4 linked regions of the Saccharomyces cerevisiae S288C genome follow. Changing the gene in region 3 together with the main gene of any one other region gives a genetic interaction. Each region holds a gene or a part of one and is shown on either strand. Other genes may lie near its edges.

Region 1 (2,836 bases), on a different chromosome or scaffold from region 3:
AATTACAGACTTCTTCTCATTTTACTCATTGCCATTCACAATCCTAAATAACACAAAATATAAGGACCTAGGCATCGGGTACTTGTATTATTATGCCACCGATGCAGATTTCCAATTCAAAGACAGGTTTGATCCAAAAGCTACTAAGGCTTTGAAAACAAGATTGTGTGAATTGATTTATGACGCTTGTATTTTGGCCAAAAACGCTAATATGGATGTTTTTAACGCGTTGACTTCGCAAGATAATACATTGTTCTTGGATGATTTGAAGTTCGGGCCCGGTGACGGGTTCTTGAACTTCTATTTATTTAATTATAGAGCAAAGCCGATTACCGGTGGCTTGAATCCCGACAATAGTAACGACATTAAAAGGCGTAGCAATGTCGGTGTTGTTATGTTGTAGTGGCTGAAAGGACGAGGCGTATATAGTTTTCGTGTACATAGCCGACAGAATTTGACCACATTTAGTTTTTCCGCATAGTCAATTGACGAAGTGAAAAAATAATTAATCCAATGGCTGGCTTTAGAGTGTCAGCCTCCAAAATAAATCCAAAAATAGACAAAGAGAATCACTATAATTACCGCCTTGGAGTCCAAGTTGGCTTGAGAACTCGCATTTATTTTTAGCGACTGAGGTAGCTGAAAAACGCCTACTTTCTCAGAAGGCGGTAGTGAGCATATATAAGTATGTAAGAAAGATCAACTCTTCTGGACTAGATACTCACCGATCTAGTGAAAATATAAACAAACCCAACATATATATAAAATGAAGGCCTGTTCCATATTATTTACCACCTTAATTACTCTAGCCGCTGCTCAAAAAGACTCTGGTTCCTTAGATGGCCAGAACTCTGAAGATAGCTCACAAAAGGAAAGCTCAAACTCTCAAGAGATCACACCTACCACGACAAAGGAAGCCCAAGAAAGCGCATCAACTGTAGTTTCTACCGGAAAAAGCTTAGTACAAACTAGCAACGTCGTCAGCAACACCTATGCTGTGGCTCCAAGTACCACCGTAGTGACGACGGATGCACAAGGCAAAACCACGACACAGTACCTATGGTGGGTGGCCGAAAGCAACTCTGCCGTAAGCACAACTTCAACTGCCTCTGTGCAGCCCACCGGAGAGACGTCAAGCGGAATCACCAACTCCGCATCCTCCTCAACGACATCAACATCAACGGACGGGCCAGTTACTATAGTAACTACCACGAATTCGTTAGGTGAGACTTACACATCTACTGTTTGGTGGCTACCGTCCTCAGCCACAACTGACAACACGGCTTCATCAAGTAAATCATCTTCGGGATCCTCATCAAAACCGGAATCAAGCACCAAGGTAGTAAGCACTATCAAATCAACTTATACCACTACGTCAGGTTCTACAGTAGAGACACTGACCACTACATACAAGTCTACAGTCAACGGTAAGGTAGCGTCCGTAATGTCCAATTCTACCAATGGCGCCTTTGCCGGCACTCACATAGCTTATGGTGCGGGTGCATTCGCCGTTGGTGCCCTTTTGTTATAGAATGTATAATCAGTTCTGTATACCACCACATAGTTCTGCATTTTAATAAAACTCTTTCTTTTTATACACTGTAGGTAACCAATAATATAACTATTGTTATCATCGTGCTTGCGTATTTTTTTTCTTTCGGGTGAAAAACTCCGCAGTATTTCTCGCTCTCCCTGGATAATAAGCTAGAAAAAAAAAATATATATGACAGATGGATGAGTAATCATATTCAATAAGTATTGTCTGGCTTCTGAGACGGCGGTAAGATATCCTTAAGAGTTGCAATGGTCCTTTTACACAAAAGCACACATATATTTCCTACCGATTTTGCCTCTGTTTCACGCGCCTTTTTTAATAGATACCCCAATCCATACTCCCCCCATGTACTATCCATAGACACAATATCAAGGAACGTTGATCAAGAAGGAAATTTGCGCACAACGAGGCTGTTGAAAAAGTCCGGAAAGCTGCCCACATGGGTCAAACCCTTTTTAAGAGGTATAACAGAAACATGGATAATCGAAGTTTCCGTAGTGAACCCCGCTAACTCCACAATGAAAACTTACACTAGGAATCTGGATCACACTGGAATCATGAAGGTTGAAGAATATACTACCTATCAATTTGACAGTGCTACAAGTAGTACGATAGCAGACAGCCGGGTGAAGTTTTCAAGTGGCTTCAATATGGGTATCAAATCTAAGGTAGAGGATTGGTCGCGCACTAAATTTGACGAAAACGTTAAGAAAAGCAGAATGGGCATGGCATTTGTTATCCAAAAACTCGAAGAGGCGAGAAATCCTCAGTTTTGATGTTCCCATTTAAAGATCTTTAAAGATATCACCATGGGCGAGCGAAATTGAGAAAACTAGTGCAGCTCGCATTTGGTCACGTCCTAAAAATTGTAAATAAGCGCTGGTTCAACAAAATTTAATATACACACATATATAATTATTTATTTATAACAGTCATTCTGCTAAACTATACATCAAATGTCACTAATCTTGATATTATGGTCGTCCCTGTATCATATTAGACGAACACACCTGTTTTTGGGCATTTTCCGAATTTTTTTTTCATGCTAGCTAAGTCAGAAGTACTACATTAAAGAATTGAGAACTGACTGCTCCCACCATTCTTGAACTCTCGCTTTAAATTATCTTACTATCTTTTGAGTTCCTTGTAACTATTCTATCCTAACCACCACCTCAAAAAAAAAAAAGTAATAAAAATGTCTTGGGACGACGAAGCTATCAATGGTTCTATGGGTAATGATGACGCCGTTTTGATGGACTCATGGGATGCTGAAATTGGTGA
Region 2 (3,203 bases), on a different chromosome or scaffold from region 3:
TATATCATTATCTTTCCAACTCAGTACTATGGAAGCATAGCTAGAACTGTTATTTTCAAAGGACTGGGCCCAGGATTTTCTTTCCTTCAAAGAAGAAGTCTGAATTAATCGTAAAGCTGACTTCCCTGAAATTGTTGTGAACAACGTAATTATGAGAGCCTCAAGCAATAGGTTAGAGCATATTTTCTGATCATTAAACATGGTTTCATTATATAAGATCTTCTCCAAATTTTCCACCGATGGAACATAATTTTTATCTTTCAGTAACTCTTGTAAGGGAATAAAGTCCTTAAAATGAACCGAATCACCTGAAGAATCTTCACTGGCTAAATTTTGCCTTTCAGCATAATTAGTAGCTGCTTTCTTTTTCGTCATCACTTTCTTACGTAAGTATGTGGAGTTAAGAGAGAAAAAGTGTTTGAAAAAAGCTCCTCAACGATCTACTGGGCTGCCAAAATAAAATTCAGCGTCAATGGAAAAGCTAACTAATGTAGATATTGCGTGCACTACTTGTCAAAAATTCGTGCTCCTTATTAATATATGTATATGTATATACAAATGTGTCAATACATCAATAGTGCAATTTGTTAAAGTATTTGTATTCATAAATTGGCGCTGCCCGGGTAAGGTAGAAATTGCATCAGATAAAAGTGAGGGCCCATTGTTTGCCATTCGAACACATCCATCCTACGTGGTATCAATGGTTGTTGATCCGCTCTCTTTCTGCTAGGAAGTACTTTACAATCCCCTGATAGGCACTCATATCGCCACAGCGGATGATATTACCAATGTCTACGTCAAGTGGAGAATCACAAACGGGTTCCCTTAGGAGTCTCCAAACAGCATGAACACAGTGTAACAAATCCCATACAGGAGTCCACTCCTCTGGTTTAAGGATGTTCAGACATATTTCTCCTGTGGCTGATTTAACATTGCAGTGCAAAATATTGTTCTGCATAAAACTTATCTTTGGTGGATTCATGGGGTAGGAACTAGGGACTTCTATTAGTATTCGAAACTGATGATTTTCATAAGGTGTGTCTGACGGCCCAGAAATTATAGCTTCCCACTTGCTCAAGTCGGTTTCGTCAATCGGGTTAAGTGACTCGATTATCCCCCGGTAGGGGTTCGCTATGGGGTCATCACTGGCCAATGTTTTCAGTATGACTTTGTACTCCTTCACGATCCTCGACATACATGTATCAGACGTATAGCTCCTACGATTCTCAAGAATCCAGAAGTTTGGCATATTATGTATAAAGGCGATGATTATGTATATTTTATGTTGTCTCCAGTAAGTGGCAGCATAACCCGGCCAGTCTGCGCTGCATGCTGTGAAGCAGTAATATGCGATATATACCACATATATTCCGCTTCCGTTCAGGATTTCGAAAAGAGAAACTTCAGTGAATGACTATGACTACATAGTTGGAGTCTTAGACCATTGCAAATGAGTTATTCAAGTATGAGAGATCAACACTGATGAGAATAAACTCGTCTTCATGATGATACGGGTAACGCGAATGTATCGCATCAATAAATTTCAGGGAAAGGGAGTTTGACGATCTCATGGATGCAACGGTTGAGGTATATAATATTAAGCAGAAAGAAGAGGAAAAAAAATAAATCGGTAAACCAACCATCAACGGTACGAAACTTACATTCAAAATCAATAATTTACTTTAGAAAAGAATGTCTAATTCTGCCAAACTTATCGATGTCATCACCAAGGTGGCGTTGCCCATTGGTATAATTGCTAGCGGGATTCAGTACTCCATGTATGATGTGAAGGGTGGTTCTCGTGGTGTTATTTTCGACAGAATCAATGGTGTAAAGCAACAGGTTGTGGGTGAAGGCACTCATTTCTTGGTGCCTTGGCTACAGAAGGCGATCATATACGATGTGAGGACGAAACCAAAGAGCATTGCTACCAATACTGGTACGAAGGATTTGCAAATGGTGTCATTGACCTTGAGAGTCTTACATAGACCAGAGGTCTTACAGCTACCCGCAATATACCAAAATTTGGGTCTCGATTACGACGAAAGAGTGTTACCATCTATCGGCAATGAGGTTTTAAAGTCTATAGTAGCTCAATTTGATGCTGCTGAGTTAATTACTCAGAGAGAAATTATTTCTCAAAAAATCAGAAAAGAGCTTTCTACGAGGGCCAACGAATTCGGTATTAAGTTGGAAGATGTCTCTATCACTCATATGACGTTTGGTCCCGAATTCACGAAAGCAGTTGAGCAGAAGCAGATTGCACAGCAAGATGCCGAAAGAGCCAAATTCCTTGTCGAAAAGGCAGAGCAAGAGAGACAAGCTTCTGTTATCAGAGCTGAAGGTGAAGCAGAAAGTGCTGAATTCATTTCAAAAGCCTTAGCTAAAGTTGGTGATGGTCTGTTATTGATTAGAAGATTAGAAGCTTCTAAGGACATCGCTCAAACATTAGCAAACTCATCTAACGTTGTCTATTTACCAAGTCAACATTCTGGTGGTGGTAACAGCGAGTCTTCGGGATCACCAAATTCCTTGCTTTTGAACATTGGCCGTTAAGTCTGGAAAAGCTATGAACACAATAAACTAGGGGAGAAAATTTTTTTTTAATCATATTAGAAACCTGTATATATGGGGGATAACAACGCCAATAACATATTCCATCTTTCCATTTAGTTACCAACACGAATACGTATGCTATCAATATCGTAACTTAGTTTTTTATCATTTATATATATACATGGATGAGCCTACGAAAAAACTAAAGCACATTCATGTATCACCATAATATTATTTTAGAAAGAACTTTTTTTGTTAAATTTATTTAATGCAAAGGTTATATAAAGAACGATCAACGAAAATTGTACGCGAATTGCCTTTTTTTCAGTCCAGTAGGCTTAAACCTGGGAAATTGTAGGTATGCCCATTTGTCTTCTTGCCCTCCTTCTGCTGAATCCGGTATTAGAGCCAAATCCACCATTTTGCATCATACCCATCGTGGCCACAGTCACTTTGATGAGGAATAGAAAACAGGAAAAGTAAAAAAACGCAACAGCAGCCTGAGATTGATGACATCTGGAGCTTGAGCCTTGTATGATCTTATTCTGTTCCAGATATGTTTTGTTTTTACACGAATGGCATCTTATACCTACAGCCAAAGCGGTGGCTGCTACAAACGTAAATATGAAATTTAAAAAATCCAAAAC
Region 3 (3,021 bases):
CAGAGATAGAAGGGTCTTTTTTTTTCAGTTGGAAAGGCAGATAGCCGGATCTTTGAAAAAACTCAAGGGCAACAGTGATTACATAGCCTAGACCCTGCCAGCCGGCGCACGATATAAACAGTGGCCTTAAATTAGTGGCACCTATATCTGAAATGTACACAGGGAATTGCTCCGAGTGCATGAACCAATATATGGGATGGCCTTGACTGGCCCAGCAAATAAGCATGGCTATCAGCATACCATACCATGGAATGAAGGCAATCCAGGGTACTATGAACAGCCAGTTACCTGGACTTTTAAATTGAATCATGCTATTGCTTGTACCTTCTATGTGTTTTTACTATGTAGCAGAACTTTTTACTATGAATGTTAAAAGTATCTAAAGGAAAAAAAATCCCGCAAAAAATTGTGTCTTATTATTTAGGTTTTTAGTTGTCCAGATGTTAAATCAGTAAATCTCAACTTCAGGGAATAACTATATTTATAAACTGAATGCCCCTAAGAAGGAGTGAAAATTCCGGTTTCATTCTCCTTCGCTTAGATGACAAATCTTCCAGGCTGAAAAAAGTTGCTATTTTTCCAGTTTTTTTTTTTCATCCATTTACTTTACTGCCGCGGATCCTTCAATTGAACAGAGCCCTTAAGCCGCAGAGGGGTAAGAGATCTTCGTTTTTGAACAGCCGTGGAAGATGTTTAGAGTTGGATATGGCTGGCAAGACCGTTGTGTTAGTCTTCATTGATAATCTTGGGCCTTATCCCGTCCTACTTGCACTATTATAGTGGAAATGCGATATGTCCGGTGCGTCATAGAGGAACGGAGGCCCTTGCTTGATTAGTAGCTACTCCGATTAAATGCGGTAGTGCCGCGCGGGTAACAGAACAGCGAGTTTTTCCTGTTTTCTTTTCCGTTCTTTTCCGTTTGTTTCCGTTCTTTTCCGTTTTTTTTTTCCGTTTTTTTGGTTTGTTTTGGTGAGCTGAGGCATCAACAAAATAGATATCTACAGTTTGGGGTGGGAATAGAGCCAGGTTGATCAACGTATGGAAAGAGCAACATAAGGGATTGTTGACACAAAAAATGGATTCTGCAAGCAAAGAGGAAACATTGGAAAAACTTGATCAAGAAATTACAGTGAACCTGCAGAAGATAGACTCTAACTTGAGTTTCTGCTTTCATAAGATCACCCAGGACATCATCCCACACGTGGCTACATATTCAGAAATATGTGAGCGGATCATGGATAGCACCGAATGGCTGGGGACTATGTTTCAAGAGACTGGGCTGGTGAATTTGCAGGCAAATGCAGCTGCACCAGTGGGAAACGCTCCAGTCAAAAGCCTTGTGAGCAATAATGTTGGTATATTTCCTACATCCGCTGAAGAGGCGAGTAGGCAGTCCCAGACAGACAATGGGCCTAACGAGGCAGATTCAGCTGTACATGTCAACCGGGATGTCCATTCTATGTTTAATAACGACAGTATAGATGATTTCCACACAGCGAATATAACATCCACGGGACAGATATTGAAACTTCCGGACTCTAGCGACGAAGATACTGGTTCAGAGGCGGTGCCTTCAAGGGAGCAAACAGACCTTACAGGCGAGGGTCATGGTGGAGCTGATGATGAGCAAGATGAAAGTACAATACAGAGACAAAGCCGCAAAAGAAAGATTTCGCTACTTTTGCAGCAGCAGTACGGGTCTAGTTCCAGCATGGTACCGTCTCCGATTGTGCCCAATAAAATGCGGAAGCAACTGGCTCATGAAGAACATATTAATAACGACGGCGATAACGACGATGAGAACAGCAATAATATAGAGAGCTCGCCTCTGAAGCAGGGGCACCACCACCCGAAGGGACAAGCGGATGATAACAACGAAGGGCCCGATGAAGAAGAGAGTACGAAAGAAGTACCAAAGCCTGGGACCATCATTCATTTTTCTACGAATAGATAGAATAAATAAGTACATACAATTTTTACTAGTGATGAATATCAGAACGCAGGGTAATGGGCCCGCTATATTTTTTCTTCGATATAGGGAGAGCCACATTCAGAATATTCAGAGTATTTGCATGTAGAAATTTATTCTAAGTGCGCCAGATATATGCCGGGAGAGGTCATTAGAAAACATCTGTTTGTGTTTTAACTTGAATTACAATAACAATAATACCAGTTTTATATGGGGAATATAATGTCAGCTAGTTTTGCGCCTGAATGCACTGACCTGAAGACGAAATACGATAGTTGTTTTAATGAATGGTATAGCGAAAAATTCCTGAAGGGAAAATCCGTTGAGAACGAGTGCTCAAAACAATGGTACGCTTATACTACATGTGTCAACGCAGCTCTCGTCAAACAAGGTATTAAGCCTGCTCTAGACGAAGCTAGGGAGGAGGCGCCGTTTGAAAATGGCGGCAAACTAAAAGAAGTTGACAAATGAAGTATATATTTTAGCACAGAATGTGCATTATTCAACATGTAAATACTAATACTGCAATATCGACTTATAATAATGTATAGTGATCCGTATATTAATAGATCTGTTTCAATTCTTTACCTTTTTAGGATATCCGTCACCCGTGATTCCGTCGGAGGTGAGCACTCGCCCAAATAAATAACGGGAAATGGTGGCAAAAAGTAGTGGCGGGAAAAGGAAAAATTTTCGTTCTCTCCCATATAAACGTTTCATTCCTTTTCCTAAGTCTTTTACAGTAATTTCAGAAACATTCGTATTTTATATTTGATCTTTTGAAGCTACAAGAAAAACTCTTACCAATTACCCCAAAAAAATCACCATCATAAAGTACTTACATATTTATTTTTGTTTGGTCGTTTTCTCAATATAATCTACATCATCATATATATATAATGTCTACACAATTTAGGAAGTCTAATCATAATAGTCATAGTAGTAAAAAACTAAATCCTGCGCTAAAGTCCAAAATAGATACGCTTACAGAATTGTTCCCTGACTGGACGAGTGATGATTTAATTGATATAGTTCAAGAATATGATGATTTG
Region 4 (6,812 bases), on a different chromosome or scaffold from region 3:
GTTAATTGGGTTTTGGTTTGGTCCAGTTGTTTTCAAGTAGCCTTTATTTTTTCATTGTGGTATTTTATCTTATCGATTTATACTTTTTTTTATTCAAAGAAAATTAAACAGATAATCTCTTATGAGCCTAGCTACTTTGTTTTTTCTTACAGGGCCATTGACTTATGCCCTGAACGAGTCTTACTTTACTTTTTTTGTATTTTCAATAATGTCGTGTTTCCCATGTTGTAATACGCCCAAAGATTATGTGGTAGAGCTTTTTTTTTTTTTGGTTAGTGTATTTACCAAACTGGGATGATTTTCAAAACTTATGAAGCAGTTTCAATACATAACTGTCTAACGTAAAAATTTTATAAAATGGAAAAATAGATGATGATAACTATAACAATTTTAAAGTACAACATATTCTACTTTTAGAATAATTCACAATATACAAGGACGATCCTGGAAAAGGGTAAATATGATTCAGCTTCGAGGAAGAAGTACAAAAAGAAGACGAAATGGTCCATTACAGACTAAGCACTATCCAACAAAAAGTTAGTGGCGGCTTCTAGATCCCAGTTGCACTTTTCCAAGGCATTGTGCGCTTCTTCTTCAGTAAATCCCATGCCACTTAACTCCTCGACGGCTAGAGACTTTGGAGTAGTTGCAACCCCGCGGTTAACTATTGGACCTTTTGACAAGCTAGCATCAACGATAGGATCATTCTTCAATGGAATTGGTTGTTGTGGAATGCTTGGGGTAGCTACTTTGGTTGGTTCAGCTTTGGAGTTACCAAATCCAGCAAAAATCTCGTCCCACTCATCGTTGCTTACTTGAGCAGGGTCACTGGTTGACTGTTGTTGTACTTGTGGTTTTGGGATAGTTGGGTTAGAGGAACTAGTTAACGTCCCTGTAAAAGCGTTCATTTGTAGTTCGTCATCGAGATCCTTATGGTCTATGGTTTCAAATTGCTCCATCGACCCAGCATTCGCAACATTCTCAAATTCAGATTCCGAATCAGCACCATTATCTTCCTCCACAGCCGCTTGTTCTAACCCTGCGAATTCATCATCAAATTCGTCCTTAACAGGCAAAATGGAATTGGTGCTTGCCTTTTTTGAGTTACCTTCATTATGTGAAGGAGAAGTGCCTGGAGCGGGATATTTTATGACTTGTTCCGTGTGGATTTCCAAACTTGATGTGGGCTGGGCATTATAGGGAGTTTGAAGGGTCTTCACTGTTGCTGATGGAATTTCTCTGGTATCTTCAAACTCATCATCGTCTGAAGAGGATGAATCGCTTTCGTCAATATGCAATTCCTGAATTGGTGGAAACTCTTCATTTATTGTCTTTGCTTTTGGTTGAGCAGAGATTTTTGGAGATTCTTGGATAGAACTGACCGACTCACCGTCTTCATTTGAATTAGCCCTTTTTGTGGTACTTCCGTCTTCAATAACTTCTGTAGTTTCGTTGCTCAAAACATCAGTAGAAGCGGTAGCTGGGGTAGCTTCCCATTCACCAGGAATGTGAGATAAGTTTCCAGTATTATCTCTATTCGCAGTATTATTGATGGTGTCACGTTCTTCCAACGTTTCCGGTAGCTCAACATCATCTCTTACGGATTGAGGAGCATTGTTTGCAACAGACGATGTCAAGGATTGACTTCTTGGAATACCATATTCATTCAAATCACCATCAAACCTATCACTTAATGTTTCAGTTAAGTTTGGATTTGCTGTCTCATTTCCTGACTGGGTGCCGTTGTTTGTATTGGCATTTTCACTATCGCTTTGAGATCCCAAAGTTGGAACGTCTCTATCAAATACGTCACTTTCGGTTCTTTCTGTCTTTTCTTCATCGTCTTTAACCCGATTAACATTCAAGTTTGAATTCTCAACAGTAGTTTCGACAAATTTGGATACAGTGTCTTCGTGAACATTTCCTCTTGATGTGGCTTCTTTGGTTGTTGTATCTGTATTAGAGGCGCTTTTCGCAATAATGTCCTTAGCATCCTCAGGTAATTGTCCCATAGCTAAATTCATTTGTCTTTCGGATAACTCTCTCACATTGTTAGCGTATTCGATGTTTCTCTCCTTTAACTCTTGATCAGCTTTTTCAAAAGAAGCTTTTCTCTGTGATAGATCGTCGAACATTTCTTGCAATTTAGAAACGTGCTGATGGTAGAGATTTTCTTGTTCTTCAATTTGTCTGTTACGTTCTTCCAATTGTTTTTCACGGTCCGTTAAATCAGTATCCTTGTTGGACAGATCCTGGTATTTAGCTTGTAATTGTGCGTGTTGCTCCTCCACGGTCTTTTGGTAGTCATTTAACTCCTTTTGTTTAGTTAAGTAAACGCTTATCTTTTCGCCAAGACCATCGATTTCCTTCTGCAAGTTTGCTACTGTGACTTGATTCAACTCTAGCTGTTTTGAATTAACATCTACCATTGACCTTTCTTGCTTGACCTGTTGTTGTTTTTCATTTAATTGTGACTGTAAGGAGGCTGTCATCGAGTTCAAATTCGTAATTTGTTCTTTTAATTCTGCGTTCTTTGTTTGAGATTCTTGCAAATCAGTAGTTAGTTCATTGAGTTTGGACTCAGCGGCATGGTAGTTTGCTTCGGATACAGCCAACTGTTGCGCTAATGTTTCGTTTTCTTTGTTTACTTGAAGTACTTGTGCTTCCAGTTGTTCCGTTTGTTTAACATTTTGGTCATGGGTAGAACGTAAATTGTTCAATTTGATTTGAATGGAATTTTTCATCTCAGTAACACGTTTCAACTCCTGGGTCGCTCTTGACTTTTTGTCATTAGTTATACTTGCCTGCTTGGACAGGGAGTTTACTTGGTTAGATAAATTAGCCATTTCTGTGGTAGCATTAGATAACTGAGCAGAAGCTTCACCATCTGCAAATAAATCCTGGTTCTTGAATGCATTATTGGAAGATCTTGAAAAAGCGGATGCGCCTAAAGCAGCAGCACCCACTGCGGCGCCTACAGCAGCACCAGTGGCAGCGCTAGTGGCAGCGCCTGCTGGCATGCTAAACACAGAAAAGTTGGGAACTTGTGGCAGTGTTGTTGAAGCTGTACGTTTGACTGGACTTGAAGCATGTTTTGGAACTGGCGGAGGCTGAGCGCTAAAAGTATCACTGGATTCCCTTAGTTGCTCTTGTTCCTCTGGTTCTTCCTTGATTATACTTTGACCGAAGTTTGAGGTGGGAGTAAATTTCTTCAATCCAGAGGAGGAGTGAGTTAAAGGTGGAGGCTGCTGTGGCTGTTGTTGTTGTAATGTTGCTTGGCCATTGTTATTATCATATGAAAAACTATTATTTGTGTTGTTTTGAACCACAGTTTGTGCTTTAGTGGGAGAAGGAGAGCTGAATGAAGGGTTCAAAGCCAGTAAATCATTCAAAGAACCGTTATTTGAGTTTTGAGGAAGAACTTGTGGAACTGTTGGTTGAGTATTAACTGCTGGGGCAGAAACTTGGTGTGGCATATCCTGTAAAGAAGGCTTACTTGCTCTTGAGGGGATGGCAATTTGAGGTGCACTTTGTTGTTGAGGAAGTGGGTTTGGCGGATAAAGTCCTAAAGCGGGGGACTGTAATAATTCATTGGGGATAACATCCGGTAATTCGACACCAGCATTCTTTTTTTGAATTAAGAACATGGCAATAGCAAATTCCAATTTGGTGAATTCAGCATTGTTGTGGATGTCAGCTAAGTCCCAGATGGTGGCTAACGTCTCTTGGTTTAATCTAGAGGATAAGAAGAATGGAACCAACACAGCAGAGCTTAGCGAACCAGCATGTTGCTTATCTAATGAATCAAAAATTGCATCAAACTGTTGTTTTTTTTCAAAACTTAAAGACCAATCTGAAGCAGCATTACTGAATGCACCAGTAGATAGACGTGATATAGTAGAGTGTCTTGTTAGTGAAGATACGCCAGTGGAGTTAGCACTCAAAGGAGTAGTCCTGTTTGGTTGATTAACAACAACAGGTTCTAAACGAATAGAATCCCACAGCTGAGTAGGCAACACGGCCGGTGGTGTGTTCATACTAGGATGATGAGACATACATAGTTGGATCAAATACATGGCCATTATAAACTCAGATTTGTCTAAGACACCGGATGCGTCTCTATCACAAAGAGCCCAAATTTCACCTAAAGTTTGATTTGGTAATCTTGCCTTTAAAAATATATCCTTGGCTTTATCACCAGCAACAGTTTGAGCACCCTTTGCTGTCCTATCAAACAGTTGTGAAAATTTAGCAATATCATTTGAGGATAAGGCAGGAATATCAGTGTTGTTTGTATTGCCGGTTGCACTACCGCTTTGCATAGGGGCTGGGTTCTGATTTATAGAAAAAGAAGCCAGTTGAGTAGGTGTGCTCTCATATAGGGCAGCGGAAATTGGTTGGTTGGGAGCATTTTGCAATTGAGCGATCATTCTCAAAGCAGCCGAAAACTCGTTCAAGTTCAAAAACCCTTTATTGTCTATATCGACGGTAGCCCACACTTGCGATAGTAATTGCCCTGGAAGACCAGAAGACGCGAAGAGCGGTCTGACTGCCTCGCCAGTGACCACCCCGAGATCTTCCGTATCCAATTGGTGAAATTTCTGATTATAAAAGGCTTGTTCCTGAGAGGATAATGGAGTTCTAAAAGTAATAGATGCCATGGCCTATATCGTTCGAATCCTATTGAAAACACACAGATAAAAACAGGAAAAAAGATAGATCTAGAGCTTCACGAATCTATTTATTAGTTTCAACGCGCTATATTATTTCGCGAGAACCAGTAATTCTCTATTTAAAAGCACTCTATTGCCTATCACAAAGTGCTCTGTTGTGTGTTGTTTTCAATGTGCTTCTGAAAAGGGGTTTGTAATAGTTGAAGATTTTGATTATAGGAGAAATCTAATCCCCCTCCGAAGCGCCGACGGGTAATGATTGTGTAGTTTTTCATTTCGCGATCAAAAGCATGTATTTTGACACAGCTAACAATACCTATTATCATTTTTTGTTGGTGTTCTCATCGATTGTCAAAGCACAATAAAAAGCTATGAGCTCGACGATGTTGGATGATGTGGATAATAATATGATGGGTATCAAGTCTATCAGCCTTTATGAATTACTTAGCGATGTGGTGAAACAGGGCGACAAGACGCGATTGGTGACGGCGGGTCCCGAGCAAGTTTTGCCTGATTTAATCCGGCATATCACTGAAACAATACCGTTTGACCTATTTATAAACCTTAAGAATGAAATGAACGATGCGAGAAATCTCGTTACTAGATTAAATTGGCTGGGTAAGTTTCTGAATGATAATTTTTTACAAAATCATACATTTCCATTCACAATACTTCGGATATGCGAATTGTGTTATGATCCTTTCAAATATTACAAGATCAATGAATTGGAGAAGTTTGTAAATGCGCTAGAAAAATGTTGCATGGTAACTAGCAGTTGGCAGGTTTTTGATAAAACACACGGTGAGAAGCAAGAGGACGATAAGGAGAAAGATATTAACTTCATCAAGAATCAAGAAGATGTCTCACTAATGAAGATACCGTGGATGACCGAAAACAATACTAGGGAGTTGGCACCCTTTATTAGAGAAATCGACTCTATAATGAGTGTCAACCTAGGCTACGATGACGAGGATGAAGAGGAAGGATTTTTTGATGGTGATGAAGATAGGGAGATGGGGAATAAGAGTAAGCGTAATGTTTTGCTGAAAGATGAAAATTTCATGGTGGAAGAATACTATGAGGATGATTGCGGGATAAACGATGATAATAGCGATAATAAAGGACAAAATTGTCAGAGCGATGTTACGAAGAATAATAGCGATGATGAAGATGACGATGACAACGACGACGATTATCGTGAAGATGGTGCAGATGAAGATGATGAGGATGATGATCACATGGGCAGCACAGATGACGATGAAGATGATGACGAAGATAGGCAGGCGGGCGAAAGTACCAAGGTGCAAAATTTTGACAAGAAAAATGAAACTCCAAGGAAGAGGAAGCCCACAGATTTAGATAACTTTGAATATGACGAATCACCATCATTCACAAACATGGATCTCACGACGCCAAAGAAATATAAACATACCGCAACGGGCAGGTTCTCCATAATAGAGTCGCCATCGTCTTCGCTCCTCAATGCCATGGACGGCAGTAATGAGATCTCATCGAGCCAGGAGGAGGAGAAAGAGGATGCTCATGAAAACCATGAGGGTAGAAGTGAAGGACTGTTACCAGGTGACGAATTAGTGAGTCCATCGATGAGCTCTTCACAAGAGGATAAGATGGTTGCGATTGCTGGTATTACCTACCGTGAGAATATTAGCAGTCCATTAGGCAAGAAGTCCAGATGATCGAGAGATGACTTCTCTACCAACAACTTCCCATTTGCATAATATCATTAAATATGTTTTACCAAAAAAAAGTTCATCTTTCTTATTTTTAAAATCGATAGTTCTTCAGGATCTTGGTCACATATATATATATATATATATATACACTTATATAAAATAAGACGTTTATTTAATCTTGTTTTCTTACGAGTTTCTTTTTTTTTCTTTTTTTATTTTCTACTTTTGCAAGGAACAGTGACCTTGCCAATAAATAATGAAGACTACTTGGGTTACTAGAATATAAAATACATGTAAAAAATTCATTTATGGTGTGAGTGTGCGAGCGTGCCTGTATACATCTAGCAGCTTGCTTATTTCTATTTTATGTGCATGGAAAATATATTATCACACATCTTACCATCTCATCATGGACATGTCACTTCTGATTCTCATGTAATCTAAT

What was found.
Region 1: of MDM35 (region 3) and UPS1, a mutation in one rescues a mutant of the other (synthetic rescue), as found in Saccharomyces cerevisiae (4 studies listed by BioGRID, with this or other methods).
Region 2: mutations in MDM35 (region 3) and PHB1 together harm fitness more than expected from each alone (negative genetic interaction), as found in Saccharomyces cerevisiae (5 studies listed by BioGRID, with this or other methods).
Region 4: mutations in MDM35 (region 3) and EDE1 together harm fitness more than expected from each alone (negative genetic interaction), as found in Saccharomyces cerevisiae (3 studies listed by BioGRID, with this or other methods).

What each region holds. Positions count from the first base shown.
Region 1 is NC_001144.5:539,504-542,339, reverse strand, and holds UPS1 (Ups1p), read left to right. Parts: upstream 1-1,803; coding exon 1,804-2,331; downstream 2,332-2,836. Other genes in the region: glycylpeptide N-tetradecanoyltransferase NMT1, read left to right, coding at 1-403; NCW2 (Ncw2p), read left to right, coding at 767-1,531; HCR1 (translation initiation factor eIF3 core subunit j), read left to right, coding at 2,751-2,836. UniProt on the Saccharomyces cerevisiae protein: Required for maintenance of normal mitochondrial morphology. Required for PCP1-dependent processing of MGM1.
Region 2 is NC_001139.9:754,942-758,144, reverse strand, and holds PHB1 (prohibitin subunit PHB1), read left to right. Parts: upstream 1-1,692; coding exon 1,693-2,556; downstream 2,557-3,203. Other genes in the region: CCR4-NOT core subunit CAF130, read right to left, coding at 1-375; PEX4 (E2 ubiquitin-protein ligase peroxin 4), read right to left, coding at 698-1,249; FHN1 (Fhn1p), read right to left, coding at 2,895-3,203. UniProt on the Saccharomyces cerevisiae protein: Prohibitin probably acts as a holdase/unfoldase for the stabilization of newly synthesized mitochondrial proteins. Involved in mitophagy; may act as an adapter for ATG8 that supports mitophagosome assembly.
Region 3 is NC_001143.9:338,601-341,621, reverse strand, and holds MDM35 (Mdm35p), read left to right. Parts: upstream 1-2,179; coding exon 2,180-2,440; downstream 2,441-3,021. Other genes in the region: SFK1 (Sfk1p), read right to left, coding at 1-310; ASK1 (Ask1p), read left to right, coding at 1,076-1,954; DNA damage-responsive RNA polymerase-degradation factor DEF1, read left to right, coding at 2,869-3,021. UniProt on the Saccharomyces cerevisiae protein: Involved in mitochondrial distribution and morphology. Mediates the import of UPS1, UPS2 and UPS3, 3 atypical mitochondrial intermembrane space (IMS) proteins lacking the two major IMS-targeting signals, into the intermembrane space.
Region 4 is NC_001134.8:127,380-134,191, forward strand, and holds EDE1 (Ede1p), read right to left. Parts: upstream 4,662-6,812; coding exon 516-4,661; downstream 1-515. Other genes in the region: RRT1 (Rrt1p), read left to right, coding at 1-231; PSY4 (Psy4p), read left to right, coding at 5,045-6,370; ubiquinol--cytochrome-c reductase subunit COR1, read right to left, coding at 6,764-6,812. UniProt on the Saccharomyces cerevisiae protein: Functions at the internalization step of the clathrin-mediated endocytosis (CME) as an early-acting scaffold protein. Requires clathrin adapter proteins, ENT1/2 and YAP1801/2, for normal spatiotemporal dynamics and viability.